2 linked regions of the Schizosaccharomyces pombe genome follow. The main gene of each other region encodes a partner of the protein of the gene in region 2 in a complex. Each region holds a gene or a part of one and is shown on either strand. Other genes may lie near its edges. The genes, in order: rrp40 and rrp43.

Region 1 (3,683 bases), on a different chromosome or scaffold from region 2:
GACTCCTACACACGAAGCCTCTTCGTCTGTTTTCTTAAATCGCCACGAGAGACAGTTGTTGGAACTTGTTCAAAACGAAAATACTTTTACCCAAATTATCTCTGAACCCTCTCATGGGATCACGTTTGAAAGCTGGGAAAAAGAAATTTCCATTGATGGGAAAACTGAAGAGATCTCTTTACTTTTGGAAGAATATCCTGATTTAAGGAAACAGATGGAATCTTTAGTACCTTCTGAAGTTTCTTATGATGATTTTTGGAAACGATTTTTTTGGCATAAAGAGGTTGTACAGCCGATAAAGGCAATTCAATCAGGAAACGATGAAGAAGAAATTTTTAGTTGGGGAGATGAAAGAAGTGATGAAGAAGAAAGTGACAATGAACAGGTTAATGATGAAAAAAAGCAATCAAGTGAAGAAGATACTACTGAGAATAATTCAGCAGCTGAAGTGATAGATGAAACCGTCAATGATTTGGAGTCAGCAGTTTCAAAAGGCTTACAAATTGAAACTCAACCCGCAAGCCATGATGGAGAGGTTGATGGAGAAGTTAAAGAAGAAGAGGAAAATAAAGTATCATCTTCCAGTAATATAGAAGCTTCTCAAAGTTCTCTTGAGGTGAAGGATGAAGCAAATAGAAAAGTTGATGACGATGATGAAGACGATGATGACTGGGAATAACGACTCTCGTCAAACTATTAAAAAGAGATATACTGTTTTTACTTCTCTTCTATTCATTTACTTGTTTTGGTGTGTTTTGTTCGTATAGCTAATTATTTGTCTGAAAACATTTTGTTTACGAACAACTCTTAGGTATATTATTAGCGGAATATAAAAAACATCTAATCTTGAGTATGCAGGTTGGAGTAGTAGGACTAGAGCATTAATCAACCTTCTTATAATATTATACATTTACATATACTTTTTGATTGTGAAACTTAAGGAAACCAGGATTTAAAAGTAAATCTGTATGGGTCGACGACATCAATAGATAATAAGTCCCTTAAATAATGAAGATTTTTAAGGAGAAAATGAATTCTGATATCACTTAGCTGCTTTTAGTCTTTTTTAAGTTTCTTCCAGTTGTTGTTTATTCACATCACATAGGCGAAGATCAACAACTCGACCATGAGCAGCACCATCTTCTTCACCAACGAGTGCGTATTGATCAACGATACATTCTAAGCTGCTAAATGGCTTAGTCAATACTTCGGTATTGTAAGCGTTTAGCACAACGTGAATGTAAATAACAAGAACAAATAACCAAGTAGGAATAGCTAGAGCCCACCAACGAGATAGATAATAATGAATCTCAAAAAATTTGAGAACAGGCGCAGGCGTCAGAGCCCAAACAATATACACGCCGAACCCCAACATTGACACCAAATACATCACGAACCCGTAATACTCATAAGTAGGAACTTTTACCATTATATCCCAATCTTGTTGATCAATTTCTGCAATGGCAGTTCCCTCTTCATCAGGCGTTGTAGACCTCGTTCGAAACATCGTAGTCAAAGATGGCGACGGTGGAACCAACATCGGATGTCCGTAAAACGGAGGATCAAAAACAGTAGTTTGCCTTACATCTTCTATCTCTCCTTCAGCAGAACCCTCTATCCCTTTTATGAACGTGGAATGATGAGTAAGTGTCATCCAAACATGTGTTTACTATGTGCATTTGTTAGATGAGAGCGCGTACTGAGATGATACAAATACAACTACGTCTGCTTACGATGTGATTAAATTCGATATCCCTATTAACGACATACATACAGAAAATCCTCGTAAACAGCATTATAGCACAATGTACGTTTGCGTTATTTTTCACAGTCTGGGCTAATGTGATTTATAAAATTAACGAGATTTACAGTATTAGTTTAGACACACTTACCGTCCAAGACATTAATCCTCGAATTATAGTGTATAACTCGCGAAAAATCAAACCCCAAATAGCTAATTTTCTTCTGTTAACCAAATGGCTGAAGTTGAAGAAAAAGGTCTGTTATCTTATTACTTTCCTGGTGAGCGGATACCAGACTCCATAATTAGTCAGGATGGATCAATTCGTTTAGGTCCTGGTTTAGTCTTTCAAAAGAAAGACCGTGAAGAAGAAATAGTGGTCTCAAAAGCTGGGAGGTTGCATCAAACTGGAAAAAATGCTATGTTGATAGACTCACGGACAAAAAGATATATTCCTGCTACAAATGATCAAGTTATTGGGCAAATTATTTCTAGATTTGCGGAAGGTTATCGAGTAGATATTGGGTCAGCTCATATTGCTCAATTGAATGCATTGGCTTTTGAAAATGTGACTCGTAAAAGTAGGCCCAATTTAAATGTTGGAAGCCTTGTGTATGCTCGAGTATCACTCGCTGATCGTGATATGGAACCGGAGTTAGAATGTTTCGATGCTACCACAGGGAAAGCTGCAGGATATGGTGAACTTAAAAACGGTTATATGATAACAGGTTTATCTTTATCTCATTGTAGGAAGTTGATCCTTCCTAAAAATACACTTTTACAGACCCTAGGAAGCTACATTCCTTTCGAAATTGCTGTTGGAATGAATGGTCGCGTTTGGGTCAATTCTGAAAATCTTTCTACTACGGTCCTCATTTGTACAGCTATCAGAAATTGCGAATTCATGTCTGATGAAGAGCAAATAAAGTACTGTAAAGACCTTATTAAAAAGCTCTAACGAGATTCAGAAAAAAAAATTTGAATAATATGCACAGTCTATTTAACAATTCTTGTCCAATTGGGTTTAATTCAAAAATGGTTTGCCCTTATCTAGGAGGGACCATTTCTGAATAAAGTGTATTGTTTCTTCTTTAATGCCTGTGTCTAATATTCCCATACAATTTCTGTCGTTCTTTTATTTATTACAGCAGCGTGTTCATACAATATCTACACTCGTCCTTTCTCAACTGTTTTAATTAAAAAATTACTTATTATAATGCATGAATATACAAATACAGATGCAAAGATAAGTAAGCAATAATTAATGCATGCATAATGAAAATATAATTGTTATTCGTGCTCGTAAATAGTTTTTAAGATCATACCAATTCTACAATCCCAAAAAAATTTCGTATCCAATTATTTCGTAAATCCTTCGACAATTGCAACGACACCAAGAGCGCCGGCATCGGGAACTTTAACATCATCACCAACGTAGACAGCACGTCCAAGTTTGGCTTGCATATCTGCAGTAGCATCAGCACCTTTACGAGCCTCCTCTACGGCAGCATTAAGATCATTAGTTTTAACAAATGTTTCGACAAATGGAACAAGAGCATCACACATAGTGCTGTCACCAGGACGAGCGGGAGTATACTTGAAAAGAGTATCAAGAGCAACCTTCAAACCAGCAGCCCATGTCTTAGATGAAATGTCCTTGCTCTTCTCCAAGGTGTCTTTCATGCCCTTCGCAAAGCCATGGAAGAAAATGGCGTACAAAGCACCAGATGTACCATCCATATTGTCTTCAATAACATCTGCGATATCACGAACAATACGAATAGGATCGTCAGAGAATTTGTCGGATTTAACAAACTTCAAAACACCTTCAGCACCACGCTTCAAAGTAGTACCACAGTCACCATCACCAGCCATCGTATCGAACTTTGTAATTTTAGGCTCTGCTTTGATGAGATTCTCCATCGAATTGACAATCGCCTGA
Region 2 (3,696 bases):
CTATTTCCGTAGTATTTGTTATCACTTAATCTCCACATTTTTTCTACATCGGACTTCAAGTTACAGTACCACGTGCCGCCCTTATTTTAAACGAACACACCATCAGCTTTGCATAGACTGTTAAATAGCTTATACAATTTAGTAAAACTGTGTAACTTAGATATATTGGAAAACAGTATCATAACAGTAAAGATTTAACCTCAGCAAATACTTGCCACTTCCAGTTTAAAGTGTAGGATGAACTTGTAAGCATGATAAAGTTGAAACAATATTCTTGTTGCGTAGAACCTTTTTCCTAGATCAACGCAAAAACAAAATAACTTAAAAAAAAAGAAAAGAAATTCGGATGCAGAAAAACTATATGTGCAAATACGGCGGGAGTTACACAAATAATTAAACATATACATCAGCCAAAAGATGTTTACTGGAACATTAATTGTTGAGACTTACGCAGATTGACCTGTTCACAGATGCGTGTTTTTTTTCAAAATACTCATACTTATTAAATTTCCCACCAATTTCTTAATCCTCAAATTCTATCGAGATTTCTGGGTTAGAGTGTGAAACTTTTTCAATATCAATACTAGGTTGTAACGACATCTCTTTGAATAATGATTGACAAGCTCTTGTACCATTGCCCAATGCAAGAACGTCTGCTTTTTGCGACGAGGAAAACGAACCGTTTGTGACTCGAGCAAGTCCGTAAAGAATCTTCCAATCCATAGGCTTTACACGTGATTGCATGCTTTTGCTTCCCTGTTCTTGTCGAAAAGTATCAACCGAATCAAAAAGGCGTTCCAATTTTATCTGTAACCTTTCAACCAAGTATCGGAGGCCATCCGGATTAGGCAGTTCCTCAGAAGAAGCCATTCTACCCAACTTGTGTAATTTTTTTGATGCTAAACGCACAGCCAAATATGCAGCCTCTTGGCGAAACCTCGAAGCCGAGGTTCCATCAAAAAATGATTCATCGGGGATGGAATGAATTGTAGGCCATACTGCACGTAGACGTGGTGGAATCCTTCGTTCATAACCGTCCAAATCGCTTTGCAATTCATTTCGACGAGTTATACCAGCTTTATAACTGCAATAAAGTTGAATACACAAATTTTTCATCTCAGATCTTCTCAGTTCGGAAACAATTTCTCGATACTCTATTAGCTGTGCGTATAGAGCATCTTGCTTTCGCATTTCTTTTTCATCCGAAGTATCCTGAGAAGAGGAAATATCCTCTTGACTTCCTTGCTGCTCTAATTCTTCCTCAGAATCATTCATAGCATCATTTCCTCAGAAGGTTTAGCATCCGGCTGTTGTGTTCGTAGGCTAGAGGTTAAGGAAAGGTCATTGTACCTGGCGCGATATTAAGTGTGTTTACTGACTTTTTTTTTTAATTTCCTTTAACTATAATCTAATAGAAAAAAACTTTTCCTTTTTTTTATTAATATAAGACTTTTGCTTCGTCTAACAACCGATAAACTAAGAGTGTGCAAATTTTGAAATATAAACATGCACCCAAATAACTTACTTTAATTTAAGAGCTATATATTATGCTACTTACCAAATTCCGTATGTATTCTGCTGACTTTTAATTGTTTAATTATGCCTTATTTTCTTTAACCATGGATCATTGTAAATTTTGTTATTTTACCTTTTTTTAAAAAAAAAAAAATCAGTAGAAAAGGCCTTAAATAAATTTTTTTCGAATTAGCATTTTTAAATGTTAATTATGTGATCTCTTTTTTCAAAATCGTTTAAACGAATTGGGATTTTGTAGCTAAAATTCAAATGAATTATCAATCCTTAATTGAAATTTGCACCGAATATACCTTCAATAAATTAAAAAAAAACCAAGGAATTTAAACATTTTAAGGACCTCACAAACCTTTTATTTACCATATAAGTTTTTCATACTTTACTTCGTACACCTATTTCATCCCTCTACTCCATTTCATAATTTCAACCTGTAGACAAAATTCAGCACATATATCGAATTCTTGTGATTCATATTCATTTTATATATTTTTCAGTATCGTTCTTCAGTTATTTGGTCTTTCTACGTTACTATATCATTTAGCTTCGTTATTGAAACACTACATTCTTTTCACATCATGAAAACTGTTTCGGGGGTAAAACAGCTTTCATTTACACCTTCGTAAGTTGCTCTTTGATTTCTTATTCTATCTTTTTTAGTGCTCTGTTTCCTTTTCACTTTGTTTTTCTTTGTTACAGTACTAACATTTTACTGGATAGAATTTTTAAGAAAATCACGCCTGAGCAGTATTTATCACATCTTCTTAATCAGGATGTTCGATCAGATGGGCGGTCTGTATCAGAATTCAGAGAAATTGTAATTAATGATAATTGCATATCTACTGCTAATGGTAGTGCTATCATTCGAGCTGGCGAAAATGTCTTTGTGTGTGGAATAAAAGCAGAAATTGCTGAACCTTTTGAAAACTCTCCCAATGAAGGTTGGATTGTTCCCAATCTTGAATTATCACCTCTTTGCAGTAGCAAATTTAAACCTGGCCCTCCTTCTGACTTGGCGCAAGTTGTCTCGCAGGAATTGCATCAGACTTTGCAACAGTATGTATCAAATTATTGGAATTTTTCTAATTTTCTACCATACGTTTCATTTATTGTTAAACTATCATTTAGAATATTTAGTTACTTTTACTAACAACTTATACAGATCTAACTTGATTAATTTACAGTCCCTATGCATTTTTGAAAAAAAAGCAGCCTGGGTATTGTATGCTGATATTATTTGTTTAAATTATGATGGAAGTGCCTTCGATTATGCATGGGCAGCTTTGTTTGCCGCTTTAAAAACTGTTAAATTACCAACTGCTGTTTGGGATGAAGATTTAGAGAGGGTTATCTGTGCTTCTACCCTTACAAGACCAGTTCAATTAAGTACTGAAGTTCGTTCTTTCTCATGGTCAGTATTTGACGACAAGTTGTTAGCCGACCCTACAGACGAGGAGGAGGACCTTTCAACTGAATTTTTGACAATTATGCTTAATAGCTCCAAAAATATTGTTAAGATAATAAAGCTTGGAGGCACTCACATTCAACCCCTTTTATTAAAAAAGTGTATTGAGGTTGCAAGGTCTAAGTTCTAACAAATTTTTGGGTTATCAAGGTGTATAAATTTTGAAAGTTTGAAAATATTCAAGTTCGTTTTTAATGCTTGAAACGTAATATTGATCTTGCTGTAATATAAAATACTATAGTCATAAAGCTAATTGATTTTCAAATGCTGTAGGAAATTTTTTTTATATAACTTATGAACCCTGTTTATCTCCTTTAACCAGTAAACTTTTTTTTGTCAAACTCTAAAACACAAGCATAGGAAGAATGATCAACTCAATACCCGATTTATTTACCAAAATCACGTTGAATCTTTTCTTTGCTGCCTTCACCAACATATCCTTTGGCGATGCCACTCTGTCCTTCGTATAATTTACTAGGACCTTCTCCTTCATCTACACTGTCAAGTCCCGACCAAGATTTTGACTGAAGAAACGCCGCTGCTGGAGAGTAAACCCCGTTCACTGCAAGACTTCTCATGCCACGCTTTTCTATAGAGGCTGAGGACGAGTCATTATTCTTTGCATCGGCAGTCTCAAGAGTAACGTCTAAATGTCGCATCGGGGTTGAATTCACAAACTTTCCAGTAATCAGACTAAAGTG

The links.
Region 1: rrp43 (region 2) and rrp40 share a complex: the UniProt entries of both Schizosaccharomyces pombe proteins name them as parts of the RNA exosome complex.

What each region holds. Positions count from the first base shown.
Region 1 is NC_003424.3:1,178,225-1,181,907, reverse strand, and holds rrp40 (exosome subunit Rrp40), read left to right. Parts: upstream 1-1,967; 5' UTR 1,968-1,976; coding exon 1,977-2,699; 3' UTR 2,700-3,052; downstream 3,053-3,683. Other genes in the region: SPOM_SPAC22A12.14C (BSD domain-containing protein), read left to right, coding at 1-679; mug84 (pig-P phosphatidylinositol N-acetylglucosaminyltransferase subunit), read right to left, coding at 1,067-1,654; dihydroxyacetone kinase Dak1, read right to left, coding at 3,101-3,683. UniProt on the Schizosaccharomyces pombe protein: Non-catalytic component of the RNA exosome complex which has 3'->5' exoribonuclease activity and participates in a multitude of cellular RNA processing and degradation events.
Region 2 is NC_003423.3:3,331,182-3,334,877, reverse strand, and holds rrp43 (exosome subunit Rrp43), read left to right. Parts: upstream 1-1,932; 5' UTR 1,933-2,108; coding exon 2,109-2,152; exon of another isoform or gene 2,153-2,250; coding exon 2,251-2,586; intron 2,587-2,692; coding exon 2,693-3,125; 3' UTR 3,126-3,196; downstream 3,197-3,696. Other genes in the region: RNA polymerase I upstream activation factor complex subunit Acr1, read right to left, coding at 523-1,275; dph2 (diphthamide biosynthesis protein), read right to left, coding at 3,382-3,696. UniProt on the Schizosaccharomyces pombe protein: Non-catalytic component of the RNA exosome complex which has 3'->5' exoribonuclease activity and participates in a multitude of cellular RNA processing and degradation events.